4 linked regions of the Anolis sagrei genome follow. The protein of the gene in region 1 purifies or fractionates together with the protein of each later gene. This does not show direct contact. Links are inferred from orthologs where the notes say so. Each region holds a gene or a part of one and is shown in the gene's direction. Other genes may lie near its edges. The genes, in order: EZH2, DDX5, PHF19 and CUL4B.

The links.
Region 2: the proteins of EZH2 (region 1) and DDX5 purify together in Homo sapiens (affinity purification with mass spectrometry; 4 studies listed by BioGRID, with this or other methods). This does not show direct contact. The link is inferred for Anolis sagrei from reciprocal best matches to the Homo sapiens genes EZH2 and DDX5.
Region 3: the proteins of EZH2 (region 1) and PHF19 purify together in Homo sapiens (affinity purification with mass spectrometry; 10 studies listed by BioGRID and IntAct, counting the BioPlex papers as one, with this or other methods). This does not show direct contact. The link is inferred for Anolis sagrei from reciprocal best matches to the Homo sapiens genes EZH2 and PHF19.
Region 4: the proteins of EZH2 (region 1) and CUL4B purify together in Homo sapiens (affinity purification with mass spectrometry; 4 studies listed by BioGRID and IntAct, with this or other methods). This does not show direct contact. The link is inferred for Anolis sagrei from reciprocal best matches to the Homo sapiens genes EZH2 and CUL4B.

What each region holds. Positions count from the first base shown.
Region 1 is NC_090026.1:63,278,706-63,286,665, forward strand, and holds the start of EZH2 (histone-lysine N-methyltransferase EZH2), read left to right. Parts: upstream 1-4,833; 5' UTR 4,834-4,914; coding exon 4,915-4,970; intron 4,971-7,960. UniProt on the Homo sapiens protein: Polycomb group (PcG) protein. Catalytic subunit of the PRC2/EED-EZH2 complex, which methylates 'Lys-9' (H3K9me) and 'Lys-27' (H3K27me) of histone H3, leading to transcriptional repression of the affected target gene.
Region 2 is NC_090022.1:179,768,172-179,775,948, reverse strand, and holds the start of DDX5 (probable ATP-dependent RNA helicase DDX5), read left to right. Parts: upstream 1-4,550; 5' UTR 4,551-4,671; coding exon 4,672-4,703; intron 4,704-7,777. UniProt on the Homo sapiens protein: Involved in the alternative regulation of pre-mRNA splicing; its RNA helicase activity is necessary for increasing tau exon 10 inclusion and occurs in a RBM4-dependent manner. Binds to the tau pre-mRNA in the stem-loop region downstream of exon 10.
Region 3 is NC_090031.1:8,752,194-8,760,289, forward strand, and holds the start of PHF19 (PHD finger protein 19), read left to right. Parts: upstream 1-5,000; coding exon 5,001-5,045; exon of another isoform or gene 5,046-5,515; intron 5,516-8,096. Other genes in the region: TRAF1 (TNF receptor-associated factor 1), read left to right, coding at 1-33, 4,683-4,901.
Region 4 is NC_090030.1:3,460,094-3,467,958, reverse strand, and holds the start of CUL4B (cullin-4B), read left to right. Parts: upstream 1-4,860; 5' UTR 4,861-5,085; coding exon 5,086-5,650; intron 5,651-7,176; exon of another isoform or gene 7,177-7,276; intron 7,277-7,865.

The sequences.
Region 1 (7,960 bases):
GGCCAAATGTAACAATTAAAATTAAAAGTGTTGGGCATGACCATGTAGAGTGTTTGGAGGGGGATGGGCATGCAGATATCCTAGATCTCTGATAAAGTGCGTTGGGACATAATGCTAGGAGTTTCCTATTCTGGGAAGGCACACTGGAACAACCACGTTTTCAAGCTCCTCCTAAAGATTGCTAGTGATGGGGCCTGCCTCATGTCTTTGGGGAGAGAGTTCCAGAGTCAAAGGGCCACCACAGAGAAAGCCCTATCCCTCGTCCCCACCAATCGCGCTTGCGATGCAGGTGGGATCGTGAGCAGGGCCTCTCCAGATGAACAAAGAGATCGTGTGGGTTCGTACACAGAGATGCGGTCACACAGGTAGGCAGTTTCCAAACTGTTTAGGGCTTTGTAGGTAAGCACCTGCACCTTGAATTGGGACCGGAAAATGAAAGGCAGCCAGTGAAGCTCTTTAAACAGGAGGGTTGACCTCTCTCTGTAAGAAGCACCAGTTAGCAACCGGGCTGCCGCTCGTTGGACCAATTAAAATTTCCGGGCCGTTTTCAAGGGCAGCCCCAGGTAGAGTGCATTACAGTAGTCCAATCTGGAAGTGACTAAGGTGTGGACCACCCTGGCCAGATTCGCCTTTACGAGGTACGGTTGCAGTTGGCGCACGAGTCTTAATTGTGCAAAGGCCCTCCCGGCCACCGCCGACACCTGAGCTTCAAGCGACAGTGATGAGTCCAGGAGGACCCCCAAACTGTGGACCTGTGACTTCTCCTCTCATCCCTCTCAGGGCAGCAGAAAACAAACTTTCTCCCTCCTCCCTGTGGCTTCTTCTCACATACTTATATATGGCTATCATGTCTCCGCTCAACCTTCTCTTCTTCAGGCTAATCATGCCCAGCTCCTTAAGCTGCTCCTCATAGGGCTTGTTCTCCAGACCCTTGATCATTTTAGTCGCCCTCCTCGGGGCACATTCCAGTTTGTCTCTTCAATTGTGGTGCCCAGAATTGGACACAATATTCCAGGTGTGGTCTAATCCAAGGCGGAACACTTTATTATTTATTTATTTACTTTATTTCTATACCGCTTTTCTCAGCCCGTTAGGCGACTCAATGCGGTTTACATAATACAGGTTATCACAACAGTATCATAAGCAATTAAAACACATTATACATAGACTCATAGACTCATAGAATCAAGAGTTGGAAGAGACCTCATGGGCCATCCAGTCCAACCCCATTCTGCCAAGAAGCAGGAATATTGCATTCAAATCACCCCTGACAGATGGCCATCCAGCCTCTGTTTAAAAGCTTCCAAAGAAGGAGCCTCCACCACACTCCGGGGCAGAGAGTTCCACTGCTGAACGGCTCTCACAGTCAGGAAGTTCTTCCTCATGTTCAGATAGAATATCCTCTCTTGTAGCTTGAAGCCATTGTTCCACGTCCTAGTCTCCAGGGAAGGAGAAAACAAGCTTGCTCCCTCCTCCCTGTGGCTTCCTCTCACATATTTATACATGGCTATCATATCCCCTCTCAGCCTTCTCTTCTTCAGGCTAAATGTGTCCAGCTCCTTAAGCCGCTCCTCATGGGGCTTGTTCTCCAGACCCTTGATCATTTTAGTCGCCCTCCCCTGGACACATTCCAGCTTGTCAACATCTCTCTTGAATTGTGGTGCCCAGAATTGGACACAATATTCCAGGTGTGGTCTAACCAAAGCAGAATAGAGGGGTAGCATTACTTCCCTAGATCTAGACACTATGCTCCTATTGATGCAGGCCCCATAACAGACAAAATCAAAAACAATCATTATCATATCATAACGCCTCAACAGCAAATCAGAATCCGTTCTCATAATCCTTGTACCTTTTTCCTATGTTCGATTTTACCGTTTTCCTGTATTCATTTGCACTGTTTAGCCAAACGCTTGTTCGTAAAGCCAAGTCTTAACCTTCCTCCGGAACGCCAACAGCGAAGGGGCCTTTCTGATGTCTACAGGTAAGGCATTCCACAGCCGAGGGGCCACCACCGAGAAGGCCCTGTCCCTCGTCCCCGCCAAACGCGCCTGTGATGCAGGCGGGATCGAGAGCAGGGCCTCCCCAGATGATTTTAATGTCCTAGTCGGTTCATAGGTGGAGATGCGTTCGGAGAGGTAAGTAGGGCCGGAACCGTTTAGGGCTTTATAGGCTAACGCCAGCACCTTGAATTGTGCCCGGTAGCAGATTGGCAGCCAGTGGAGCTGGCACAAGAGAGGAGTGGTATGCTCCCTGAGTGCCGTTCCTGTTAGCAACCTGGCTGCGGAGCGCCGAACCATTTGAAGCTTCCGAGTAGTCTTCAAAGGCAACCCCACGTAGAGTGCGTTGCAGTAATCTATGTGGGATGTAACCAGAGTGTGGACTACCATGGTCAAGTCAGACTTCCCAAGGTACGGGCGCAGCTGGCGCACATGTTTGGTACTTATTATTATTTGTTGTTTCTGGTTTATGCAAGGTGCTATTTGTTTATGTTTTTTTTGTGGGGAGGTGATGTTGTGCTTTTTGTGTCATGGGATTTCTGTTGTTTTAACCACAGTTCTCCCAGGTATGGGAGAAAAGCGGGATAAAAATATAAATAAATAGTAATAATAGTCGGATTCAAGATGGTTCTGTACCTACACAACAATGGTGGCTCCTAACAGCAGCAGCCAAAGCCATGGTATTCCCTGTAGTAACCTATGGACGTGAGAGCTGGACCTTAGGGAAGATCGATGCTTTTGAGCTGTGGTGTTGGAGGAAAGTTCTGAGAGTGCCTTGGACTGTGAGAAGATCCAACCAGTCCATCCTCCGGAAATGAAGCCCGACTGCTCATTGGAGTGAAGGATACTAGAGACAAAGCTGAAGTACTTTGGCCACATCATGAGGAGACAGCAAAGCCTAGAGAAGACAATTATGCTGGGGAAAGTAGAAGGTAAAAGGAAGAGGGGCCGACCAAGGGCAAGATGGATGGATGGCATCCTTGAAGTGACTGGACTGACCTTGAAGGAGCTGGGGGTGGTGACGGCCGACAGGGAGCCCTGGCGTGGGCTGGTCCATGAGGTCACGAAGAGTCAGAGACGACTGAATGAATGAACAACAACAAGCTGTCACCTGCCACGCGTTGCTGTGGCTGTCTGGTGATCTGGAAAATAAAGCAATGAGAAGTGTTGGTTTCCAATATATGTAATGTCTTTATGCTTGTGAGTAAATAGTATTTCTTGCAGTTTCTTTGCCAGTGTTGATGTGGCGATTGTCTGGTTTGCCTACTGTGGAACACGCAACATATCATGTTGTTGTTCATTCGTTCAGTCGCCTCCAACTCTTCGTGACCTCATGGACCAGCCCACGCCAGAGCTTCCTGTCGGCCGTCACCACCCCCAGCTCCTTCAAGGTCAGTCCAGTCACTTCAAGGATGCAACATATCATAGTCCTTCTTTAAGGGTCCCTTTCAAATCTATGATACTATATCTGTGTGTGTGTGTGAGAGAGAGAATCGTATCTATCTTTATGACTGGATGGCTCTGATTACATTACTAGAAATCCCCAATGTCTATTTCCTCCAAACTCCATCTGTGTTCATATTTGGGCATATGGAATATTCGTGCCAAATTTGGCCCAATTCCATCATTGGTGGAGTTCAGAATGCTTTGATTGTAGGTAAACAATAAATCCCAGCAACTACAACTCCCAAATGACAAAATCAATTTCTTTGAGTGAAGGACATACATTGGGTTGTTAGGTGTCTTGTTTCCAAATTTGGTGTCAATTCATCTAGTGGTTTTTGACTTCTGTGAATACCACAAACGAACATTACCTTTTTCTTTATATATACTAGCTGTCCCCTGCCAAGTGTTGCTGTGGCCTAGTCTGGTGATCTGGAAAATAAAGTAATGAGAAAGTGTTGGCTTCTAATATATGTAATGTCTTTATGCGTGTGATTTATATAGATAGTCGGATTCAAGATGGTTCTGTACCTCCACAACAATGGTGGCTCCTAACAGCAGCAGCAGAGAGAGAGACGCACCTCAACTGTAAGCCAGACCCGACTGTTTGTGGAAACAGGCCTCCCCCCCCCCCCCCCCAAATCCAGCAACAGGCGTCGAGGGGGCCGGGCGCAGAGCCCCGCCTGAGGGGCGGCCAGGCTCCCCCATTCCCCCCGGCCGCGCGCGCGCAAAGGCAGCCACGGCTGTTAGAACCGTTAACGGCCTCCCGCCCTCCTGCCTTGCAACGGGGCTGAGGCGGTCCACTTCCTCCTGAGGGAGAGAGCTTGCCCCGCGCGCCCAGCGAAGAAACCACATTTGAAAAAGAGGAACCGAGGCAACTCCCGCCTTCTTCTAAACAGCGCGAGAACAAAGAACTTCCCCCTCTTTCCCGCCCTGCACGTGGGGGGCGCGCGCAAGCCCCCGCCCCTCGGGCCCAGGACGCCGAGGATTGGCTGAGACCCGGCTACGGGGGGGCGGGGAGAGCGCGGTTCGTCCAATCCGGACGACGGCAGCTTCTCTCCAATGAGAGCCGGGGCCATTTGGCCGCCGCCGGGTTTGGCGCTCTGTTGTCCGGAGCCGAAGAAGAGGAGGAGGAGGAGGAAAGAAGAAGGAGAAGAAGGGAGAAGTGAGCGGGGCGGCGTGACGGACGGGAGGCGAGCCGAGAGAGGGGCGCCGCGGGCCCGGCGAGGAGGGGGTAAGCGCGCGAGCGAGTGAGGGAGCCGGACAGAGACAGGCAGACACACCCGCTTCGAGTTCTTTGTCGTGCTTGGGGGTGGGAGGGGGGGGAGGGGCGCCTACAAGTGAGCGAGGGGGCGTGGCTTCCTGTGAAAGACAGGTGGGGCGGGGCCTTCCTCAATGGGGAGAGAATGGGAAAGGTAAGCGGGGAGAGGCGAAGCTAGTCTACAGGAGAGTGAATGAAGAGCCCGGGAAAATGAACATGCTACGGGGAAAACAGGTGGAAATGACTGAAGTCGTGCTCGTGAGCAGGTGAGGGCGCCTCATTGGGAGGGAGGGAGAGAGACATTACTCATTGGCATTACTTAGGCCAGTGTTTCTCAACCTGGGGGTCGGGATCCCTGGAGGGGTCGCCAGAGGGGTCACCAAAGACCACCAGAAAACACAGTATTTTCTCTTGCTCAGGGAGGTTCTGTGTGGGAAGTTTGGCCCAATTCAATCCTTGGTAGGGTTCAGAATGCTCTTTGGTTGTAGGTGAACTATAAATCCCAGCACTTACAACTCTCAAATGTCAAGGTCTATTTTCCCCAAACTCCGCCAGTGATTACATTTGGGCATATTGAGAATTCGTGCCTTTGATTGTAGGTAAACTATAAATCCCAGCAACTACAACTCCCAAATATCAAGGTCTGTTTTCCCCAAACTCCACCAGTGTTTACATTTGAGCATATTGAGAATTCGTGCCTTTGATTGTAGGTGAACTATAAATCCCAGCACTTACAACTCTCAAATGTCAAGGTCTATTTTCACCCAACCCCACCAGTGTTTACATTTGGGCATATTGAGAATCCGTGCCTTTGATTGTAGGTGAACTGTAAATCCCAGCAACTACAACTCTCAAATGTCAAGGTCTATTTTCCCCAAACTCCGCCAGTGTTTACATTTGGGCATATTGAGAATTCGTCCCTTTGATTGTAGGTAAACTATAAATCCCAGCAACTACAACTCCCAAATGTCAAGGTCTGTTTTCCCCAAACTCCACCAGTGTTTACATTTGAGCATATTGAGAATTCATGCCTTTGATTGTAGGTGAACTATAAATCCCAGCAACTACAACTCTCAAATGTCAAGGTCTGTTTTCCCCCAACTCCACCAGTGTTTACATTTGGGCATATTGAGAATTCGGGCCTTTGATGGTAGGTGAACTATAAATCCCAGCAACTACAACTCCCAAATATCAAGGTCTATTTCCTCCCAACCCCACCAGTTTGGGGAATATTGAGAATTTGGGCATATTGAGAATTCGTGCCTTTGATTGTAGGTGAACTATAAATCCTGTTATCATATAATTGTGTAGGAGCCGCTGGATGATCACAAATTCGTCAATTTTTTGGAGCACTTATAACTCTCAAATGTCAAGGTCTATTTCCCCAAAACTCCACCAGTGTTTACATTTGGGCATATTGAGAATGCGTGCCTTTGATTGTAGGTGAACTATATATCCCAGCACTTACAACTCTCAAATGTCAAGGTCTATTTTCCCCAAACTCCACCAGTGTTTACATTTGGGCATATTGAGAATTCGTGCCAAGTTTGGTCCAGATCCATCATTGTTTGAGTCCACAATGCTCTCTGGATGTAGGTGAACTACAACCAGGGGCGCTCTTGGGGGAAAATAGACCTTGACATATGCGAGTTGTAGTTACTGGGATGTATAGTTCACCTAAAATCAAAGAGCATTCTGAACTCTACCAATGATGGAATTGAACCAAATAGGGCACACAGAACTTCCATGATGAACAGAAAATATATATCAATGAGTGGGTGGGTGGGTTGGTTTGCTTACCGTTGAAAATTACCTAGGGCCGCCTCTGACTACAACTCCCAAAACTCAAGGTCAATGCCCACCAAACCCTTTCAGTATTTTCTATTGGTCATGGGAGTTCTGTGTGCCAAGTTTGATTCAATTCCATCCTTGGTGGAGTTCAGAATGCTCTTTGATTGTAGGTGAGCTATAAATCCCAGCAACTACAACTCCCACAGGACAAAATCAGTACCCTCCCCCAATCCCACCAGTATTCAAAATTTGGGTGTATTGGGTATTTGTGCCAAATTTGGTCCAGTGTATGAAAATACATCCTGCATATCAGATATTTACATTACTATTCATAACAGCAGCAAAATGGCAGTTATGAAGTAGCAATGGAACTAATTTTATGGTTGGGTGTCACCATAACATGAGGAAGCGTATTAAGGGAGCGTGGCATTAGGAAGGTTGAGAAGCACTGACTTAGGTGATCTCTCCTTGCCAGAATATGTTGGCCCTTCAAGTGTTGTGTCTTGGTGGTGGATATCTAGGTGGCTATAGAGCCCTCTTCTTGACACGCATGTTCTTCCACAGTGAGGGTCATATCATGATAAGACATGGCTTACCAGAAAAAACAACGTTCAGCTAGGTGTAAGGTAGTTTCCCCTCCCCTTATTTGTTTACTTTTTTTGAAAACCATGCAGTTAACAATACATCATAGTACAAACTTTGACAGTATATGAATTAATATAGATGACTATTTTCAATTTTTGTAACTATGTTACAGTTTCAGTTTTTACTTTTTCAATATAGAATGTTAGTTTCCCTTTGAATCCCCCCTCCCTACCCTCAAATGGGTCAGCTTGTATCAATATTTATTTATTTGCTATCTGTACCTGCCATGTGTTGCTGTGGCCAACCTTCCCTCCCTCTTTCTCTCCTCTTTTCTTTCTCCTTCCTTCCCTTTCTTTCATTCTTTCCTTCCTTGTCTTCCTCTTCCCTTCCTTCCCCCCTTTTCTTTCCCTTCCTCTTTCTCCGCTTTCTTCCTTCTCTGCCTATTCTTGGACTGCACCTCCCAGCACTCCTTCTGATCAATCTATCCACATACCTATTTGTCTATCTATCTTATCTATCTGGAGGATTGCTGGGAGTTGCAGTCCAGGAATAGGAAATTGGAAATATGCAGGGATTGGGATGCTTTCAAAGACATCCAAGGAGAAGAATGCTTGCAGCTTGGAAGCAGTGCATTTGGCTCATCCTCCTCCTCTAAAGGGCCGGGTCTAGGGGATACTGGGAACTGTAGTCCAGAAGAGAGGGTGGATATGCTATTGTGTGTTTTGTTTGCTAAAGGGAGTTGTTATTGTGCATGTATTGTAGTGTCTTTTTGCTTTTTTGGCTTTTTAAGTCCCTTCTGTTATGTTTTTCAGTGTTTTCATGAGTGATGGTCACTTGTTTGCCTCATAGGTGTATTGTGTTCAAATTTGGTGTCAATTCG
Region 2 (7,777 bases), on another chromosome or scaffold:
GTGTGGAATTAATAATTTTGGAGACCCTACTAAAATACTAAGGCCTTGGGATCCTGGAATTTGTAGTTTGGTGAGGACACAGCACTCTTGCAGAGAAGGCTAAAGAAAAACCTTGAAAAACAACAGTATTTATGGTATCATAGCTTTAAGCCATGGCAGTGAAAGTGGTGTCAAACTGCCATAATTCTACAGTGTAGCAGCACCTATAATTTGAATTATTTGAATCTAGGCCCTCTGTGGCGGTTGTATTCTCTTCCCTTGTGAAAGATGGCAATGCAGTGACTGCCTAGTACTGCAAGAGCCCCATTTAATCCATTGTCTAAAGGGGGGTTACACTTTCTTTCCAGCTGTACTCTGTTCCATCAATATTGTGAGTGCTCTCCTCCTTCAGTTTCATGTTTTCATTTACGAGCAATATAAAATAATGTATTAGAATTGCTGCTACACCTTTTCCATTGCTCTCTTCACTTCCGGCATATAAACAGGCAACATGTTAACCCCTCCTGGGTGTCTTTGTATTGACAGGCAAAGCCCTGTAATTTTTTTTTTTTTTTGCAGACTTTGAGCACTAAAGGTTTCCAAGACCTTTAGTACTCAAAGTTTGCAAAAAAAATATACTGCTATGTAATTAATTTTCTGAGTCCAGATGATCTGCTTTGAACCTGATTATATGGCAGCGTAGGTCCAGCCTCTGTTGATAATCCAGTTCAAAGCAAATCATCTGGATTCAGAAACTGGATTACATAGTAACCTAAGAAAATAACTTTTAAGAGGACATTGTCTTGTTTTGTGTGTTGAAACTCAACCAGAGCAAAATTTTATAAGACTGCACCATTTTGAATGGTTTTTACCCATTGACTTGTACATTTTAAATTGTTTCTATGTTAATGTTGATCTTTTGTATGTTTCAACTATTCTGCAATCGATGTAACTGATGGTGATGATAAGTGGATAAATTGCTACTATTGCCAAAACATTGCTTTGCAGATTCGATTGACAAGGTTTGACATGATAATGCAGAAAATTACAACAGGGAGTCCCCAAATTACAAACATCAGACTTACAAATGACTCATAGTTAAGGAGGGTGAGACAACAGGAAGTGAGAGAAATCTACTCTTCGGAAAGAAAATTCACTCCTTATAGTGGGAAAAAGGTGTTTCCACTTAAGCTTTCTCCCCAATCTTTGTTTCCACAACAAACTATTTTTTTTTCAAAATCCAATTATCACAGGGACAGAAGGTGAGGTGAAATCTTCTGAACAGGGTCACGGGCAGCAAAACAAACACCACAGGGCTATTAACTTTTCCCTATGCTGTCCAAAGCTTATAGAAATATGTGGCTGGAGTTACATTTCAAAATGTATGTGTTCTTACATACAAATTTAACTTAAGAATAAACGTACAGAAACTGTCTTCTTTGTAACTTGGGGACTGCCTGTAATGGCCTCGTCTTATAATCATGCAAGCGGTACAGGGAAAATATAGACTTGCTTGTGAGTGCCTTTGTTCTAGTGTAATTGAGCTTTTTGGGGTGTTATTTTGGAGTGATTTCACGATGGAACATCTCAAAGGTCGGTATACTTTTTTCAGCTGGGACTACTATGCTTTTAATTGACAAGTCAAATCTAGAAAATTCTAGTTACCCCAGCAAAGCAATGGAGTGACAGGAGAAAGTTTATCTATTGAAGCTGTGTTGGATTTGAACAATTAAAAGCGTAGGAACCCAACTAGGAGGAGGAAGAGCAGCATCTAACTGCTCAGGGGATCATGAATGCCTTTAGATTGCTTCATAATAGATTTATCACAATTATGTGCCCCTCTGACTTCACAGCAAGGTCTTTATAAAATCCTGGGGATACTGTTGGCCCAGTTTGATTGTGCAGCTGTCATTGGATGCATCTACACTGTAGAATCAATGCAGTCTGATACCACTGAATGTGATGGAATCACTGGAGTTATAGTTTCCCAAGGTCTTTAGCCTTCTGTGGGATCTTGCCAAACTACAAATCCCATCATCCTACAGAACTGGGCCACATCAGGTAAAGTGGTTTCAAACTGGATTAATTATACAACATAGATACACACAGTTAATCTGGATACTTAGCTTGTACAACTGCAGTTTATCAAACCTATCTTGAGGGAAAAGTTATTATGAATCTCGTAATATTTGTGTGCTATGTATAGCATACAATCTTCTATACACAATCTTCTTCCTGATGGAAACAGCAACCTTCTCAAGCCTCTAGTCTACTGGTTATTTGTTATGTATATAATTGCTTACTATATTTATTTGTGTATTGGTATGCAATTTGACCTTAATTCTTTGTTGTGGGAGGGGCTGCAGACATTGTGACACTTAAAACGTTAGCATATAAAATATAAATTCATATCAAGTCAATAAAAACAATAAAAACGTATATCCTCAGCATCTCCTTACTGAAATAATTATTCAATCACATCGTCAGTTATCAATGTTTCTTCAATAAATATTTTCCCATCTGCTTTTAAAAATGTTACTTTTCCTTAGGCCTTTTTAAACCTGTAAATTAAATGTTAATTTATCATTTACTGCTCATTTCCATATTTCCTTATACTATTCTTCTACCTTAATTTCTACTCCTCCTTTCCCATTTTGTGTTATTAATAGCCTTGTTAGATGCTGGTGTAATGTCAGGAGATAATGCTTCTGAAACATGACCATACAGCCTGGAAAACTCATAGCAACCGGTTCACAACATCGTTATCAAATTCTTTATGATTCTAGATTATCTGCTTTGAATTGGATTGGTCCCCACTGCCAAATAATCTGGGATAATCAGATAATCTTGGATGTAGATCCAGCCTGAGATCATATAATACAGTCCTAACTGCATGAAATGACTGTGTAGATAGGGTGATAGGCCCCAACTAAACTCTGATATAATCCATTTTATAATATATATATTTATAATGTATATTTTACAATATAATGGGTAAAAACAATTCAAAATGGCGCAGTCTTATAAAATTTTGCTCTGGTTGAGTTTCAATCATTATAATTTATATTTTACTAGCTGTCCCCTGCCATGCATTGCTGTGGCCCAGTCTGTTGATCTGGAAAATAAAGTAATGAGAAAATGTTGGTTTCTAATATATGTAATTTGTTTATGGTTGTGGGTAAGCATATTTCTTGCTGTTTCTTTGTCAGTGTTGATGCGGAGAGTGTCTGGTTTGCCCACCCTGGAACATATAGGATATCATTGTCCTTCTTTAGGGGTCCCTTTCAAATCTATGATACTATATCTCTCTCTGTGTGAATCATATCTATCTATCTATCTATTCCTTGATGGCTCTTTGTCAGGAGGACTTTGATCATGTTTTCTTGCCCTGATGAAGGGAGTTGGGTTAGATGGCCTTAAGTATTTTCTGTTGGTCGTGGGTGTTCTGTGTGGGAAGTTTGCCCCAATTCTGTCGTTCGTGGGGTTCAGAATGCTCTTTGATTGTAGGTGAACTGTGAATCCCAGTGACTACAACTCCCAAATGTCAAGGTCTGTTTCCTCCAAACTCCATCTGTGTTCATATTTGGGCGTATTGAGTGCTTGTGCCAAGTTTGGTCCAGATCCATCATTGTATGAGTCCATAGTGCTTTCTGGATGTAAGTGAACTACAACTCCCAAACTCAAAGTCAATGCCCACCAAACCCTTCCAGTATTTTTTGTTTGGCATGGGTGTCCTGTGTGCCAAGATTGGTTCAATTCCATCGTTGATAAGAGTTCAGAATGCTCTTCGATTATAGGTGAACTATAAATCCCAGCAACTACAACTCCCAAATGACAAAATCATAATTTTTGAGTGGTCACTCCTTGTGTTGTAAGAAGTTTTGTTGCCAAATTTGGTATAATTTCGTTCACTGCTTCTTTTGTTTTTAAGATGCTCATTATCCACAGAGCATTTTTATAGATATAGATAATAATAATATAAATATAATCCTCCTAGGGCCTTTCCACACAGCCATATAACCCAGAATATGAAGGCAGGAAATCTCACGTTATCTGCTTTGAACTAGAATATATGGCAGTGTGGACTGAAATAACACAGTTCAAAGGCGATATTGTGGGATTTCCTGCCTTGAGATTCTGGGTTATATGGCTGTACGGAAGGGCCCCTAGCCAACAAGAGAGGATGCGTGACAAACGTCCTCACGTACAGGAACCAAGCAGGGTCAGTGCCCGGAGCCGAATGAGAGCCGGTCTGCGCATGCGCGCTCAGAGCTGCGTGGGCGTCAGCCGTGGAGGCCGAGCCAAGCCTCACAAGGCGCCCTGGGCTCCAGCGGCTACTAGGCCGAGTGGGAAGCCCCGCCCCTTTTTGTCCGAAGGAGCCGAAAAGCCGGCCGGCTCCAGCTCCTGCGCTCCTTATAGGCCGAAAGAGGTGCCCATCACTGTAGCCCCGCCCCATCGCCTTTGAAAAAAAAGGAAGAACGTTGGAAGTGGAATCTGGAGGGAGGGGCGGGGCTCTTTAGTGACGTCACGAGCCGGCTTCCCGGCATTCGCGGCGGCGCCGGCTATATAACCGGCATCCGCCCGGCGAGACACTCCCCATTCAGTCGCCCCCGCCATCGGCTTTGCGGTTGATCCCAGCCTGCTTGTGTCCCTCGCCGTTCCGTCGTTCAAGGCCCTTTCTTCGTCGTCAGCATGCCTGGCTATTCCAGCGACAGGGACCGCGGGTGAGACCTGAGGGGGCTCTTTTGAAGGATGAACTCTGACGGGGAAGAGCGGGGGGGGGGGGGCTCTAAAATGGCGGCGGGGGGAGCCGGGGGTATTTAAAATGGCGGCGGGGGGAGCCGAGAGTGGCCAAAATGGCGGCGGGGGCGTTTGGGAAAAAGGAGAGGCGTGGGGGGGAATTCAGAAACGGGTTGAGTCTGGGAGGGGGAAGGAAAAGGGAATGGTTAAATATCTGAAAGGATTGTGGTGGGGAAATAGAAGGACCTCCTTTTCCTCCTCTCTTTTGTCTCTCGTCCCCGCCATGCGGTGGCTGAGGGGAAATCAAAATGCCGGCGGCTGCCTCCTTTGTTCCTCCTCTCTCTCCTTTCTCTCCTTATCCCCGCCCCGGCGTTAAAATGGACGCGCGCCGGCTTAGAAAATGTGGCGTAGACGGGGGAAAATAGGCCCTCAAAGCAAGGGGAGCCCCTCCTGTCCAGCTACCCGCCTTCCAGGCTTCCCTTTCCGTCCCTCTTCCTCCATTCCTTCCAGACAAAAGCTGAGCGGGGACGGATTTACTCCTCGGCTGGGGTTTTAGAGGAGACTTTCGATGGAAAAAGGGGGAGGGGGGTTGCGCATGCGCAGTGGCGCCTTGGCGTTTTTCTCCCTCTGTGAAAGAACCCTAGAGTTGAAGGGCCAATCCAGTTCAACCCCGTCCTGCCTGCCACGCGGGGATACACCATCCAATCACTCCCGACAGATAGCCATCTGCTTTGAAAAAACTCAAATTATGTGTTATGGTGGAACTCCTGAGATGTGGATGTTTATGTATGGTTCTCAAGAAAAGAAAAGAAAAGAAAAGAAAGGGAGAAAAAGGGGGGAAAAAGAAAAGAGAAGGGAAAGAATTTTTTTAAAAAGAAAAACTCCAGAGAAGGAAAGTCCACCATGCTTCCTTTTTTTTAAAAAAAAAAGAAGAAATATAATCCCCTTTGTTCTTTAAAAAAAAAGCTGCTTACCGGAATTGTGTCGGTTTCACAATCCTCCCCCACCCACTTTGAGGCACTCCCTCTCTGCGTCAAGACACTCAACAATTACGGAACAATTTTTTTAAAAAAAACAACACACATCCTTAACAGTTCAAGCTTTTTGTCCTGTATCACAGTGCATAGATTATAGATTGTAGTCTATACTATAGTCTATATAGGCTATATAATAGTCTATATAGACTATATAATAGTCTATATAAATAATTCCAACTCCCTTCATCAGGGCAAGAAAACGCAATCCAAGCCCTCCTGACGAATTGCCATCCAGCCATAGATATCTATATAAATAAAAATGTAATGTTCGTTTGTGGGATTAACAGAACTCAAAAACCACTAGACGAATTGACACCAAATTTGGCCACAAGTCACCTACTAACCCAAGGAGTGACCATCACTCCAATAAATTGATATTGTTATTTGGGAATTGTAGTTGCTGCAATTTATAGTTAACGTACAATCACAGAGCATTCTGAACCCCACCAACGATAGAATTGGGCCAAACCTCCCACACAGAATCCCCATGGAGATGGCTAGTCTATATAAATAAAAATGTAATGTTCGTTTTTGGGATCAACAGAACTCAAAAACGACTGGACGAACTGACACCAAATTTGGACACAAGACACCTAACATCCCAATGTATGTCCTTCACTCAAAAAAGTTGATTTTCTCACCAAAAATGGCAGTGAACCAAACGTGGCATACAGGACTCCCATGACCAACAGAAAACACTAGAAGAGTTTGGTGGGCATTGACCTTGAGTTTGGGAGTTGTAGTTCACCTATATCCAGAGAGCACTGTGGACTCAAACAATGATGGATCTGGACCAAACCTGGCACAAATATTCCATATGCCCAACTAGGAACACAGATGGAGTTTAGGGAAAATAGACCTTGACATTTGGAAGTTCTGGTTACTGGGATTTATAGTTCACCTACAATCAAAGAGCATTCTGAATCCCACAAACGATAGTATTGGGCCAAACCTCCCACACACAACCCCCATGACCACCAGAGTGGCCCACAGCAACACGTGGCAGGGGGCAGCTAGTAATAATAAAACTTTATTTATACCCCGCCATTATCTCCCCAAGGGAACTTGGGGCAACTTACATTAGGCCAAGCTCAATAAAATGCAGTTGCTTTGCTTGTCCTCTAAATCTTGGATGTTTTAATATTTGGATGTTGATAGTGATATATTAATATCACTACCACAATTAATTAATATTATTAATTATATATTTTTATTTAGAAGAAGAATATTGTATGCTACTATAAGTTTCTATCCACCTTATTGAACCACCCTATCTCTTAACCAGTTCGCATAGTGGCCTCCCCCCCTCCCTAAAATTAATCTGCTGTTGTTTTTTATAGTTGTTTATTACTGTTTATGATATTTTATGCTATTTTGTTATTGTTTTGTTTTTAATTGTATGTTGCCTTGGGCTTGGCCACATGTAAGCCACCAAGAGTCCCTTCGGGGTAGAAAAATAAAGTTACGATACTATACAATCATGTATAGTAACATTTACGATATTTCTACCCTACCTTTCTCAAACCCACAGGTGGCAAATGATATGATTAGAGCGATAGTATTATTATTATTATTAATAACTTTGTTTATATTCCACATCTCCCAAAAGGGACTTGGTGTGGCTTCCAAAAGCATGTGTTAGTGCAGTGCTATATGTACAATACAGTAAAACGAATTAATGGCACTCCATGCAGTCATGCTGGCCACATGACCTTGGAGGCGTCTACAGACAACGCTGGCTTAGAAATGGTGCTCATCTCCAGCTTAGAAATGGAGATGAGCACCAACCCCCAGAGTTGGACTCAATTAGACTGAATGTCAAGGGGAAACATTTGCATTTTACTGAAACACTTAACAATTGTAAAACAATAGCAATGTTAGTAACATCAAATGGATGTACAAAAAAACAGCATTTAAAAACTCCTAGTTAAAATACTCAATAAAATGCAGCAAAAGCTGCAGATAACAACTGTAACCCTGATTGAAGGTCTGTTATGGTAGATATTAGTAGTAAGGCATTA
Region 3 (8,096 bases), on another chromosome or scaffold:
GACGCCCTGCTCCAGTGGCCCTTCGCACACGAGGTACAGAGACGGGGCTTTTCCTTGCCTGGTGTATATGTGTATAATATATCTATATAAGTAAAAATGTAATCTTTGTTTGTGGGATTAACATAATTCAAAAACCACTGGATGAATTGACACCAAATTTGGACACAATACAGCTATCAGGCCAACGAGTGACCATCACTCATAAAAACACTGAAAAACACAGCAGAAGAGACTTTAAAAGCCAAAAAACAAAAAAATACATTACAACGCATGCGCAAAACCACATATATACCCGAACACACATATTTACATATATACACAAATATATAAACACATATGCATATATATACACACAAAACACATATACACAGAAAGGGGGAAGGAAGGAAGGAAGGAAAGAAGGAGAGAAAGAAAGAAAGAAAGAAAGAAAGAAAGAAAGAGAAGGAACGAAGGAGAGAAGGAAATAAAAAGGTGAAAGAAGGAAGGAAGGAGAGAGGGAAGAAAGGAGAGAAGGAATAAAAGAGAGAAAGAGGGAGGGAGAGAGGAAGGAAGGAAGGAGAGAAAGAGGGAAAGAAGGAGGGAAGGAGAGAAAGAAAGAAAGAAAGGTAGAGAAGGAAGGAAGGAGAGAAGGAAATAAAAAAGTGAAAGAAGGAAGGAAAGAGAGAGGGAAGGAAGGAAGGAGAGAATGAATGAAAGAGAGAAAGAGGGAGGGAGGGAAGGGAGGGGAGAAGGAAAGATGGAACCAAAAAGCAAAGGAAGGGAGGAAAGAAACAGGTAGAGAAGGAAGAAAGAAGGGAAAGAAAAAGAGGGAAGGAAGGAAAGAATGAAAGGAAGGAAGGAAGGAAGGAAGGAAGGAAGGAGAGTAAGAGGGAGGGAGGATTGGCCACAACAATGCGTGGCAGGAACAGCTAGTATCTATATAAATAAAAATGTAATCTTTGTTTGTGGGATTAACATAGCTCAAAAACTAATGGACAAATTGCTGCCAAATTTGGCTACAAGACACCTACTAACCCAAGGAGTGACAATCACTCAAAAAATTTGATTTTGTCATTTGGGAGTTGTAGTCGCTGGGATTTATAGTTATTCTACAATCAGCCCCCCCCCCCCCCCCAATTCTCAGGATGGTCCACGAGATGGCCTTACTGGTACATTACTTAAACTGTTATGTTTATTCGTATCATGATCTGATCACCATGCTCAAAATATCCCCTATGCATGGGGGTATTGGGGTAACAATACAAAAGGTTTGCTAGGGTAGATCCTGACCCTCCCCCCCCCCCAAAAAAAACAAACTCAGCCCCCTCCCCCGAATCAAAATCCTGGCTACGGGCCTGCTGGACATCATCCCACAGATATATAAACCCCATTTTCCTAGTTCCCAACAGGCCTCACAACCTCTGCCATAGATGGAGGTGAAATTTCAGGAGAGAATGCTTCTGGAACATGGCCAGGCAGCTTGGAAATCTCACAACCACCCTAGATAAAATATTGTATAGAACTTCAGAATTATGCAAAGGGTGCAAACTCAAAATGACGACATGGCAACTGTGTGTTATTATATCGTCCGTGTGTCCAATGTGCAGAATGTAGCCAAAGCTTGTTTGTTGTTGAAGAGACCGTTTATCAAGGTTTGTATGTAACCACCATTTCCAGGCATGTAATGTTGCATTTCTAGCAGGACATAAACAGAGCTCAGTAAACAATCCAGGCCAGGGAGAGATGTCAGGGTTTGTCAGGACGGAGTTAGGTTCAACATCTCATTGAATCTTGAATGCTTATGTATACACTTCTTAAATGAGAGCCACGGCTTGGCCTGGAGAAGGCTCGAAATGGATTTGAGTTTCACAATATTTTGCTTGGGCAGCTTTGCCCAATCTCTTGCATCTGGCTTTGTTTTCCCATCTGGTGGCCCTGAAATGTGGGAACGACCGCTTTTGCTTATGCAACAAGCACCTGCCCTTGCAGCACACAGATTTATGGAGGTTACATTGAAAATTGAAAAAAGTGGAGCAAGAAAAGAAACATAGAGTAAAAAACACCCAAAAAAATCCAGGAAAAAATACGAAAACAGAAAGTAAAAGTAGATGACCTCCATCCTATTCTCATCTGACCAAAAGTAAACAATAAGAGACCTCGTGGGCCATCCAGTCCATTCCCATTCTGCCAAGAAGCAGGAAAATCACATTCAAAGCACCCCCAACATCTGCTTAAAAGCCTCCAAAGAAGCAGCCTCCACCACACTCCAGGCCAGAGAGTTCCACTGCTGAACGGCTCTCACAATTACAAAGTTCTTCCAAATGTTCAGGTGGGATCTCCTTTCTTTCCAGTAGTTTGAAGCCACTGTTCCACGTCCTAGTCTCCAGGGCAGCAGAAAACACGATTATTCCCTCCTGACTTCCCCTCCCATCTTCATCCATGTCTCCTCTCAGCCTTCTCTTCTGCAGGATAAACATGCCCAGCTCTTTCAGCCTCTCCTCATAGGGTTTCTTCTCCAGACCCTTGATCCATTGAGTCGCCCTCCTTGGGACACATTCCAGCTTAGAGTCAACATCTCCTTTCAATTGCGGTGCCCAGAATCAGACGCAGTGTGATTCCGGGTGTGCTCTGACCAAGGCATTATTTTCGTTGCTACTACGTAAAAGTAAAGGTTTTCTCCTGACATTAAGTCCAGTCATGTCCGACGTTGGGGTGTGGTGCTCATCTCCATTTCTAAGCCGGAGAGCCAGCATTGTCCATAGACACCTCCAAGGTCATGTGGCCTGCATGACTGCATGGAGCGCCCTTACCTTCCCATTGATCTACTCACATTTGCATGTTTTCGAACTGCTAGGTTGGCAGAAGCTGGGGCTGACAGCGGAAGCTCATCCCACTCCCCAGATTCGAACCTGCGACCTTTCGGTCAGCAAGCTCAGCAGCTCAGTGCTTTAATCCACTGCACCACCGGGGGCTCCAACATAATTGTAATTTTGCTACTTTCGTTGTTACTACATAGTTGTTATTTTCATTGCTACTACGTAATTGTAATTTTGCTACTGTTATGAATTGACATGTAAATATCGGATATGCAGGATGTATTTTCATTTACTGGACCAAATTTGGCACAAATACCCGACATGCCCCAATTTGAATGCTGGTGGGGTCTGGTGGGGAGTAGATTTTATCATTTGGGAGTTGTAGTTGCTCGGATTTAAAGTTCACCTACAATCAAAGAGCATTCTGAACTCCACCAATGATGAAATTGAACCAAACTTGGCACACAGAACTCTTACGACCAAGAGAAAATACTAGAAGGGTTTGGTGGGCATTGACCTTGAGTTCTGGAGTTTTAGTTCACTTACATCCAGAGATCACTGTAAATTCAAACAATGATGGATCTGGAACAAACTTGGCACAAATACTCAATATGCCCAAATGTGAACACTGTTGGAGATTGGGGAAAATAGACCTTGACATTTGGGAGTTGTAGTTGCTGGGATTTATAGTTAACCTACAATTAAAGAGCATTCTGAACCCCACCAACAAGAGAATGGGGCCAAACCTCCCACTCTGAACCTTCATGACCAACAGGAAATACTGTGTTTTTCTAATGGTCTTTGGTGACCCCTCCTGACCCCCAGGTTGAGAAACACTGTGCTAAAGCCTGGCCCATATTTGCACTATGTAACACTATGATACAACCAATAGTGAAAGGACCAAGGCAGTGACATCTCCGGCTCACCCCCTGTTTGGGTATCAGCCAGCACGCCAACAACTTAAATGAAGAAGTAGCTTCCTAAGATCTACAGAGACATTTGCTGGAACACCTCAGCAAGCAAGAGTCCAAAAGTGGCAGGCTCAAACCCAGAACCTCAACCAATGGCTGATACCAAATGAGAGACTCCCCCCTGGGCACACAGAAGACTGGGTGACTTGGAAGGCGCTGAACAGACTGCGCTCTGGCACCACGAGATGCAGAGCCAACCTTAAGAAATAGGGCCACAAAGTGGAATCCACGACATGGGAATGTGGAGAAGAGCAAACCACTGACCATCTGCTGCAATGCAACCTGAGCCCTGCCACATACACCATGGAGGACCTCCTTGTGGCAACATCACAAGCACTCCAAGTAGCCAGCTACTGGTCAAAGGATATTTAACCAACTACCAAACTTGCAAATTTTGTATTTTGTCTGTTTGTTTTGTTCTGTTAGAAATGTAATACAATTGACTGGTTTTCCTGACACAACAAATAAATACTTCAGGTTTATTTTGTTTTCCCATTTTCAGTAAAGATGAAGATGTCTTATTTTATGTTTATTACAAAGACTGTGTAAATATGTTGCACTGCTGGGTTTTGTGTGCAGCATTGCCAGTTTTGTTTCATCTCTGCAAAGTAAAGAGAGTAAAGATTTTCTGTTCACTTTGACTATTGGCCTGAGACTATTTGCATTTGTATTGTCGAAGGCTTTCATGGCCGGAATCACTGGGTTGTTGCAGGTTTTTTCAGGCTATGTGGCCATGTTCTAGAGGCATTCTCTCCTGACGTTTTGCCTGCATCTATGGCAAACATCCTCAGAGGTAGTGAGGTCTTTTGCATTTGGGTTTTGGGCGCTGGGACGTTGGGTTAAAATATGCACTGTGTAACAGTTGTGGCAACCACACAAACAAGCCACCTGAGCCATTCTGCTTGTCTTTTCCCAGGTCACGTTCATGCTGCTGAGTCAAAACAACACAGAAGATCATGTCAGCACCATCCACCCGGATCCAGCATCACCTTCCTTCCAGAGGCCCATGACGGATATGAACGAAGCCAGTGGCTTTCCCAAATTCATCCTGTTGGCTAAGTTACAGTCACCGAAATACGCCTATCTCAAAGAGGGCACCCTTTTCCTCCGGTGTATCACACAAGCCCATCCGTGAATCTTGCTCTTGGTAGTTTTCAAGCAGCGGAAACGGCAGAAGCATCTCAAGCAGCAGAGCTTGACCATGAACCACCATCAAGGACTGCTGTTGGTAGCGATGAGAACAGAAGTTGGTGGATATGGATCGAAAGAGCGGACAGAGGTTTGGGACTCTCCTTGGGAAAATGTCTTGCGTCAATGCATCCAGAATTGGACATAATCTATATATATAAAAATGTTCTGTTCGTTTTGAGTGACATCATAACTCAAAATCTGTTGGACGAATTGGCTCCAAATTTGGCCACAAGGCACCTACTAACCCAAGGAGTGACCATCACTCAAAATATTGATTTTGTCATTTGGGAGTTGAGTTTTGGAATTGTAGTTTGCCTACTTCCAGAACTGACCTTGATTTATAGGAGTTGTAGTTCACCTACATCCAGAGAGCACTGCAGACTCAAACAATGATGGATCTGGACCAAACATGGCACCAATACTCAATATGCCCAAATGTGAACACTGTTGGAGTTTGGGGAAAATAGACCTTGACATTTGTGAGTTGTATTTGCTGGGATGTATAGTTCACCTCCAATCAAAGAGCATTCTGAACTCCACCAACAACGGAATTTAACCAAACTTGGCACACTGAACTCCCATGACCAACAGAAAACACTAGAAGGGTTTGGTGGGCATTGTCCTTGGGTTTGGGAGTTGTAGTTCACCTACATCCAGAGAAACTGTGACCTTCATCGACAATGGACTGGGATCAAATTTGGCGCAGAAAATCACCATGACTACTTAACCAAGTGTACTGGAGACGGTTGGGGTGAATTGACCTTAATTTTTGGGAGTTGTAGTTCACCTGTGGACTCAAACAATGAAGGATCTAGACCAAACTTGGCATGACTACTCCATATGCCCAAATATGAACACAGATGGAGTTTGGGGGAAATAGAGCTTGACATTTGGGAGTTGTAGTTACTGGGATTTATAGTTCACCGATAATCAAAGAGCATTCTGACTCCCACCAACGACAAAATGGGGCCAAACTTCCCACACAGAACCTCAATGACCAACAGAAAATACTGTGTTTTTGGTGGTCTTTGGTGACCCTTCTGATACCCCCTCATGACCCCCCCCCCCCCGGGGTCTTGATTTCCCAGGTTGAGAAATGCTGCCTTAAGGCCATCCAGTTCAACTCCTTTGACCAGGGCAAGAAAACATAATCAAAGCCCTCCTGACAAAGAGCCATCCAGCTATAGATATATTTGACTCTCTCTCTCTCTCCCACACACACATATGTATATGACACATATAGTATCATAGATTTGAAAGGGACCCCTAATGAACAATTACATGTTGCATGTTCAAGAGTAGGCAAACCAGACAATCACCACATCAACACTGGCAAAGAAACAGCAAGAAATACTGGTTCCTCACAAGCAGAAAGATATGACATATATTAGAAACCAACACTTTCTCATTACTTTATTTTCCACATCACCAGACTGGGCCACAGCAATGCCTGGCAGGGGATGGCTAGTATTGTATAACATTGTTGTTGTTGTTATTATTATTATTATTATTATTATTATCATCATCATCATAATCATTATTATTAAACTTTATTTGTACCCCACTAGAATCTCCCGAAGGACTCGATTCGGCTTACAAAGGCCAAGGCCTCAACACAACAACAGCATAATGAAACAACTCAAAGCAAAATCAAAAACATAAAGCAATCATAACAAAACATAGTAGTAGTCCATAAATATGATTATAATATTGCCCGAAAGAGTTAATAATAAATATAAATAAATACGTAATGTTCGTTTGTGGGATTAACAGAACTCAAAACCCACTGGACGAACTGACACCAAATTTGGACACAAGACACCTAACAATCCAATGTATGTCCTTCACTCAAAAAAACAAAACAAAACGATTTTGTCATTTGGGAGTTGTAGTTGCTGGGATTTATAGTTCACCAGTACATTCTGAACCCCACCAACGATGGAATTGAACCAAACTTGGCACACAGTTCTTCTATAACCAACAGAAAATACTGGAAGGGTTTGGTGGGCAGTGTCCTTTGGTTTTGGAGTTCTAGTTCACCTACATCCAGAAAGCACTGTGGACTCAAACAATGATGGATCTGGACCAAACTCTACACCAGTGTTTCTCAACCTTCCTAATGCTGTGACCCCTTAATACAGTTTCTCATGTTATGGTGACCCCCCAACCATAACATTATTTTCGTTGCTACTTCATAAATGCAATTTTGCTACCGTTACGAATCGTAATGTAAATATCTGATATGTAGGATGTATTTTCATTTGCTGGACCAAATTTGGCACAAATACATGATACGCCCTAATTTGAATACTGGTGGGATTGGGCGGGAAATTGATTTTGCCATTTGGGAGTTATAGTTGCTGGGATTTATAGTTCACCTACAATCAAAGAGCATTCTGAACTCCACCAACAATGGAATTGAACCAAACTTGGCACACAGAACTCCCATGACCAACAGAAAATACTGGAAGGGTTTTGTGAGGATTGATCTTGATTTTGGAGTTGTAGTTCACCTACATCCAGAGATCACTGTGGACTCAAACAATTATGGATCTGGACCAAACTCTACACGAATACTCAATATGCCCAAATGTGAACACTGGTGGAGTTTGGGGAAAATAGAATCTTGACATTTGGGAGTTGTAGTGGCTGGGATTTGTAGTTCACATACAATCAAAGAGCATTCTGAACCCCACCAATGATATAATTGGGCCAAAACTCCCACACAGAACACCTATGTGGGCCACAGCAACGTGTGGCTGGTGACGGCTAGTACAGCATAAAACTGATCATAATGTTCATCATAATCTATATCTATATGCGTATGTACGTTGTGTGGCTGGGCTGCCCACTTCCACAGACAGGCTCCCAGTTCCACAAACAGCTGAGGGTTAAATTCCCAACTAGATGTATCTGCAATCGATCAGTCAAGTGCTTCTGTGTACAAGAACTGTCACTGCATCCACATCATTATCACGCAGATTTGTTTGATGCGCACTTCAGGGTTGCGGACGGATTGCATGCTTGGAAATAAAGTTTCGGGAAAACCAAAACAGGCCAAAACACAAAATGAGAGTGGATTATAGTTTGATCCAAAGCATTCTAGAAAGCAAAGCCTGGTTGGCAGGAGCTGTTGGAA
Region 4 (7,865 bases), on another chromosome or scaffold:
CCCGGCTTTTGCGCTTTCTTCTTTCACCTTGATTAGAAGGCTCCTCAGCTCCTCCTCGCTTTCGGCCATCAGAGTGGTGTCATCTGCATATCTGAGGTTGTTAATGTTTCTTCCAGCAATTAATAATACAGTACATTAAATAAAATAATAATAATGAATAAATACATCTATTTTCATAAATGCCTAATACGTAATTTATTACTTATGAATAATAAATTAATCAATAATGGTTTTCATATACAGTAAAAGGTTTATTATTTGTAATTAATAACAAGTAAATAATAAATACGTTTCACAAATGACAAATATTATTATTTATGAATAACAATTTGTTTTCATAAACAATCCTTTGTTTATTAATAGATTAATAATTTATTATTTATGAATAATAAATTAATCAATAATGGTTTTCATATACAGTAAAAGGTTTATTATTTGTAATTAATAACAAGTAAATAATAAATATGTTTATTTCATTTCACAAATGACTAATATTGTTATTTATGAATAACAATTTGTTTTCATAAACAATCCTTTGTTTATTAATAGATTAATAATAAATATGTTTATTTCTTTTCACACATTACTAATATATTATTATTTATAAATAAATACATCATTTTCATAAATAATTGTTTAGTTGTAAAAATAGTAATATTAAATTATTTATTAATAAATCGTTTAAAATTTAACACACAATTAACCATTAAATGAGATAACAATTAAAATGTATTTAATAATTAATAAATAATAATGGTGCAGCAGGTTAAATGTCTAAGCTGCTGAACTTGCTGACCGGAAAGTCGGCACTTCGAATCCGGGAACAGGTTGAGCTCCCGTTGTTAGGCCCAGCTCCTGCCATCCTAGCAGCTTGAAAACATGCCAATGTTGACTTAAATTTTATGTGTTCAATTTTAAATATTTTATTAATTTATTTATTACTATTATTTTTGAATAATCTGCAAATAACTTATTATTTACTAGCTGTCCCCTGCCAGGCGTTGCTGTGGCCCAGTCTGTTGATCTGGAAAATAAAGTAATGAGAAAGTGTTGGTTTCTAAAATATGAAATATCTTGATGCTTGTGGGTAAACTGTTTTTCTTTTTCTGTTTCTTTGCGTTGATGTGGAGAGTGTCTGGTTTGCCAACTCTGGAACATTCAACATATCATTGTCCTTCTTTAGGGGTCCCTTTCAAATCTATGATATTATCTCTCTGTGTGTGTGAATCATATATATCTTTATCTATGGCTGGATGGCTTTTTATCAGGAGGGCTTTAATTGCGTTTTCATGCCCTGGGGAAGGGAGTTGGACTGGATGGCCTTAAGTATTGGTGTTGGTCATGGGGGTTCTGTGTGAGACGTTTGCCCCGATTCTGTCGTTCGTGGGGTTCAGAACACTCTTTGATTGTAGGTGAACTGTGAATCCCAGTGACTACAACTCCCAAATGTCAAGGTCTATTTCCTCCAAACTCCATCTGTGTTCATATTTGGGCGTATTGAGTGCTTGTGCCAAGTTTGGTCCAAATCCATCCTTTTTTGAGTCCACAGTGCTCTCTGGATGTAGGCAAACTACAACTCCAAAACTAAAGGACACTGCCCACCAAACCTTTCCAGTATTTTCTGTTGGTCATGGGAGAACTGTGTGCCAAGTTTGGTTCCATTCCATCGTTGATGGGGTTCAGAATGCTCTTTGATTGTAGGTGAACTATAAATCCCAGCAACTACAACTCCCAAATGACAAAATCATTTTTTTGAGTGAAGGACATACATTGAGTTGTTAGGTGTCTTGTGTCCAAATTTGGTGTCAATTCGTCCAGTGGTTTTTGAGTTCTGTTAATCGCACAAATGAACATTACATTTTGATTTATATAGATTAATGAAAATAAATAACTTATCATTTATTAATGTATTTAATAATGCATCACAATAAAAGAGGTGAAATAAAATTAAATCAAATTATCATTCTTTCTCTTCAAGCTCGTCTTTGATCCACTGAATCCACGTCTATATTATTATTATTATTATACCCAGCTTTTATTTCGTATAAACATGCCCTGCCTTTCCAGCCCACAGCAATGGAAACCTGCCTTCAGTTCAGATTCATGCGAGGGACTGATGTGATTGGACTCACTTTCAACGACATACAAATAATGCATTGTAGACTATCGTTGTCATGCTACTTTCTACTCTAGTTGTATACTATGAAAGGAGTTGGGCTCAGTCCTTGTCAAAAATGGCAGGCTGGATGTACACTACCATACGGATTTCTGGATCAGGTTGACTGTCCGAATCAATCTGGCTTTAGACTGGGACGTGGAACAGAAAAAGCTTTGGTCACTTTGGTGTATGATCTACACGGAGAACTTGATCAGGGGAGTCTGACCCTATTAACCGTCCTGGACCTCTCAGTGGCCTTCAATACCATCAATCATGGTATCCTTCTGGGAAGGCTTGAGGGAATGGGGTTAGAAGGCAATGTGCTATGGTGGTTCTAATCCTTCTTCTCAGGCCGTTCCCAGAAGGTGGTCCTGGGGGAGTCCTGCTCGACCTCATGGCTGGTGGGTTGTGGTCTTCCACAGGACTCATTGCTATCCCCAATGTTATTCAACGTCTACCTCAGTGGTTCCCAAACTGTAGCCTGTGGACCACCAGTGGTCTGCAAGAATGAAAATATGGTCCACGGCCTTACTGTTACTACACTGTTGTCTCAAAACCACATGACTGGTCTCATGAAACTCTCTTAGGCAACGGGTATGTCGGGAGGGAGAGGCTGACTACCCACGAAAGATTACTACTACCACATCATCTCTAGATTATCAAATATGGTTTTCTGTGGATGAGCAGATGGTGACTACTGGGTAGAATATGTTCTGCATTAGAAACTAGAGCTGAGGTGGTTTGTCCAATTTTCTGAATAAGCACCCCAAATAACCAAACCGAATCTAAAGTTGACCAAAAACTGATCTGTAATCCTTTTGGTACTATTGTTGGTCAGGGGTCCAAAAGGTTGGGAACAACCGATCTACATGAAGCCACTGGGATACATCATCTGGAGTTTTGGGGTTCAGAAGGAAGGAAAGAATGAATGAATGAAGGAAGGAAGGAAGGAAGGAAGGAAGGAAGGAGAAAGGGAAACAGGCAGGGAAGGAGTGAGGGAGGGAAGGAAGGAAGAAAGGAAAGAAGGGAGAAAAGAAAGGAGGGGGTAAGCAGGGTGGGGGAGGTAAGCAGGGTGGGTGGGAGGGAAGGAAGGAGGTTGGCAAGCAGGGTGGGAGGGAAGAAAGAAGGGAAGGAAGGAAAAAGAGGGAGGGAAGCAGGGAAGGAAGGAGGTAAGCAGGGTGGGAGGGAAGGAAGGGAAAAAAGGAAGGGGGGAGGGAAGCAGGTTGGGGCGGAGGAAGGAGAGAAGGAAGGAAGAAGAGAGATAAGCAGGGTGGGAGGGAGGAAAGGAGAGAAGGAAGGAAAAAAGGAGGGAGGTAAGCAGGGTAGGAGGGAGAGAAGGAAGGAGGTAAGCAGAGTGGGAGGGAAGGAAAGAGGGCAGGAAGGAAGGGAGGGAGGGAGGGAGGGAGGGAGGGAGGGGGGAAGCAGGGTGGGCGGGAAGGAAGGAAGGGGGAAGGAGGGAGGAAGAAAGAACAGAAGGAAGGAGAGGGAAACAGGCAGGGAGGGAAAGAGGGAGGGAAGGAGGGAGGGAAGGAGGGTGGGAGGGAAGGGAGGAGGGCAGGAAGGAAAGAGATAAGCAGGGTGGGGAGGAAAGGAAGGAAAAGAAAGGAGGTAAGCAGGGTAGGAGGAAGAGAAGGAAGGAGGTAAGCAGGGTGGGAGGGAAGGGAGGAGGGCGGGAAGGAGGGTGGGAAGGAAGGAAGGAAGGAAACAGGATGGGCGGGAAGGAAGGAAGGGGGAAGCAGGGAGGGAGGAAGGAAGGAAAGAAAGAAGGAAAGGCAGGAGGTAGGGAGAAAGGGGGGGGGTGGAAGGAAGAAAGGAAAGAAGGAGGAAGGAAGGAAGAAGGAAAGAAGGAAAAGAAGGGAGGAAGAAAGGAAGGAGTCAAAGCATCCCTGTGAATGGAAGGACAAAGGAAGGGAGGAAGAAAGGAAGAAAGAAGGATGGAAGGAAAGAGTCAAAGCATCCCTGTGAAAGGAAGGAAGGAAAGAAGGAAAGGAAAGAAGGGAAGGAAGGAAAGAAGGGAGGAAGAAAGGAAGAAGGAAGGACGGAAGGAAAGAGTCAAAGCATCCCTGTGAAAGAAAGGAAGGAAAGGAAAGAGGGAAAGAAAGAAGGGAGGAAGAAAGGAAGAAAGAAGGACGGAAGGAAAGAGTCAAAGCATCCCTGTGAAAGGAAAGAAGGGAAAGAAAAGAAGGGAAGGAAGGGAAGAAGGGAGGAAGAAGGGAAGAAGGAAAGAAGGGAGGAAGAAAGAAGGACGAAAGGAAAGAGTCAAGGCATCCCTGTGAAAGGAAGGAAGGAAGGAAGGAAGGAAGGAAGGAAGGAGGAAGGAAAGGAGGGAGGGAGGGAGGGAAGGAGGGAGGGAGGGGGGAGGGAAGGAAGGAAAGAAGGGAGGAAGGAAGGAAGGAAGAAGGGAAGAAGGAAAGAGGGAAAGAAGGGAAGGAAAGAAGGGAGGAAGAAAGGAAGGAAGAAGGGAAGAAGGAAAGAGGGAAAGAAGGGAAGGAAACTAGGGAAAAAGAAAGAAGGACGAATGGAAAGAGTAGAAGCATCCCTGTGTTGGCCTTGCAAAAAGGAAGGGAGGAAGGAAGGAAGGGAGCCAGAGCCATCCCCGTGGAGGAGGCCTGGAGGCGCCGTCACGTGACCCCGCCTGGGCGCAGGAGAGCCACTTCCGCCTCCTTGCTCGCCTCCTCAACTTCCGGCGGGGTCGGCTTCCCGGCGTGCCGCGCGGGCGGAAGCGCCGCCATTTTTGGGGCTGCCCTGCCTGAGCGGGCTGTGGTGCTGACCATAACAAGGCTCTGGGCTGGCCTCCTGCTTGGGGAGGCGGACAGGCCTCGCAGGGGAGACGGAGACACGGGGAGAAGGAAGGCAGGAAGGGAGGAAGGAAGAGCGGGTGCCCGACCGTCCTTCTGGCCCGCCTGCGGCTCATCTCGGGGGTGTTCATGTTTCCCACAGGTTTCTCTTCCGCTCAGGAGGTCAGGCCTGCCACTGATGGTAGCAGCAGCAGTAGCTCCTCTTCCTCGTCGTCTTCCTCCTCCTCTTCCTCCAAGAAGAGAAAGCTAAACAACAGCGAGAAGGACGAGACGGAGCCCCTCTCTTCCTCCTCTTCTTCCTCCTGCTCTTCTCTCCTCCCCAGGAACCATTCCTCCTCCTCTTCTTCCTCAGCCATTGCTACCACCTCCTGCTCTTCCTCCTCCTCCTCGTCTTCCTCCAACCACCACTTGCAGAAGAAGCTCCGCTTTGAGGACTCCTTGGATTTTATTGGACTCGATGTCAAGATGGCCGAGGAGTCTTCCTCCACTTCGTCGCCGGCTTCGTCTTCCTCGTCTGCTTCCCAACAGCAGCAGCAGCAACAACAACAGCTCAAAAGCAAAAGCCTCCTCCTTTCTTCCGTGGCCGCGGGACACCACGCGAACGGCCTGACCAAAGCCGCCTCGTCCAGCGTCTCCAGCTTTGCCAATAGTAAACCGGGCTCGGCCAAGAAGTTAGTCATCAAGAATTTTAAAGGTAACGCTTCTGGAAAACGACATTCAGGGGGGAAAAACACCTTTTGGAAATCGTAACTTTCACCTTTCAGAGAAGAGCCAAACACACTCTTCTCAACCCTCAGATGTCTTGGCCTTCAACTACCAGAAATCCTAGCAGCTAGTAAACTGGCTGGGAATTCTGGGAGTTGTAGACCAAAACACCTGGGAACCCACAGGCTGAGAACCACTGCTCTAGAACAGGGGTCCTCAAACGAAGGCCCGGGGACTGGGCACCACGCGAACGGCCTGACCAAAGCCGCCTCGTCCAGCGTCTCCAGCTTTGCCAATAGTAAACCAGTCTCGGCCAAGAAGTTAGTCATCAAGAATTTTAAAGGTAACGCTTCTGGAAAACGGCATTCAGAAAGGAAAAGAAAAACACATTTTGGAAATCGTAACTTTTGAGGAAAGTGTCACCTTTCAGAGAAGAGCCAAACACGCTTTAGAGAAGTGTTTCTCAAATATTTGTTTCTAAGCCAGTGGTTCTCAACCTTGCTAATGCCGTGACCCCTTAATGCCGTTCCCTATGTTTTATTTATTTATTTATTATTTAAACTTATATGCCGCCACTCTTCTGGGGCTCGGAGCGGCTAAATCTAACAAAGTTTAAAAGCTATTTAAAACAATTTAAAAACAACAGTATCAAACATTAAAAGCCTGTCGAAACAGGTATGTCTTACACGCCCTGCGGAAAGCTGGTAAGTCCTGCAGGGCATGAACTTCAGGTGGCAGAGCATTCCAGACTGATGGTGCCACTGCTGTGAAGGCTCTGCGTCTGGTTGCCGTTAGATGCAAGGTCTTGACACTGGGGACTTCCAATAGATCTTGGTCCTCAGAACGGAGGGATCTCTGGGGTTGGTGGTGTGGTGACCCCCAACCATATTGTTTTCGTTGCTACTTGATACCTGTCATTTTAGTACTGTTATAAATCGTAATGTAAATATCCGATATGCAGGATATATTTTCACTGGACTAAATTGGGCACAAATACCCAATATGCCCAAATGTGAATGCTAATGGGGTTGGGGGGGGGATTGATTTTGTAATTTGGGAGTTGTAGTTGCTGGGATTTATAGTTCACCTATAATCAAAGAGCATTCTGAACTCCACCGGCAATTGATTTGAACCTAATTTGCCACACAGGTTGAGAAACACTGGTGTATGTAATACAATGAAAATCTAATTTTTTTGAAAAATTATGACCGTACAGAAAGTCATTATTTTCCAGGATACAGCATATAGAGATTGAAAAAGAATAGTGATCAACATAGCTATAATACAAAAAAAAACAAAAACATTATTGAGATTTTTATACTGTTACCTTCTAGATCAGTGGTTCTCAACCTGTGGGTCCCCAGATGTTTTGGCCTTCAACTCCCAGAAATCCTAACAGTTAGTAAACTCACTGGGAATTCTGGGAGTTGTAGGACAAAACACCTGGGGAGCCATAGGTTGAGAACCACTGCTCTAGAACAGGGGTCCTCAAACTAAGGCCCGGAGACTGGGCACCACGCGAACGGCCTGACCAAAGCCGCCTCGTCCAGCGTCTCCAGCTTTGCCAATAGTAAACCGGGCTCGGCCAAGAAGTTAGTCATCAAGAATTTTAAAGGTAATAATAATAATAATAATAATAATAATAATACACTTTATTTATAACCCCCTACCATCTCCCCAAAGGGGACTCGGTGCGGCTAACATGAGGCCAAGCCCAAAAGAATGCAACATAATAAACACACAGTAACAAAATACATCATGACAATATATAAAATAACAAAATCAACAATATAGAACAGCATATTAAAACTAGACACAGAGGGCGGGCCAAATATGTGAGGTAAAATGTTTAAAAAGTTAAAACCCTGGGTGAGATAGGGATGAAAGTGCATTTGTAGGAAAGGAGCCCAACAGGGAGGAACCATGGGATTTAGACATTTGGTGGGGCGGGGGGGATGCTTGGTTCTGAGGGTATCTGTAGACTAAGACAACCAGATGGGTTGAATGGTCATTCTCCAAAAGCACAATGGAAGAGCCAGGCTTTTAGGTCTTTCTTAAAACCAGCTAGGGTGGGGGCTTGCCTGATCTCTTTAGGCAACGAATTCCAAAAGCGGGGGGGGCCCAGCAGAAAACATAACACTTCTGGGAAAAGGCATTCAGGAAAAAATAACACCTTTTGGAGGTCGTAACTTTTGAGAAAAGCA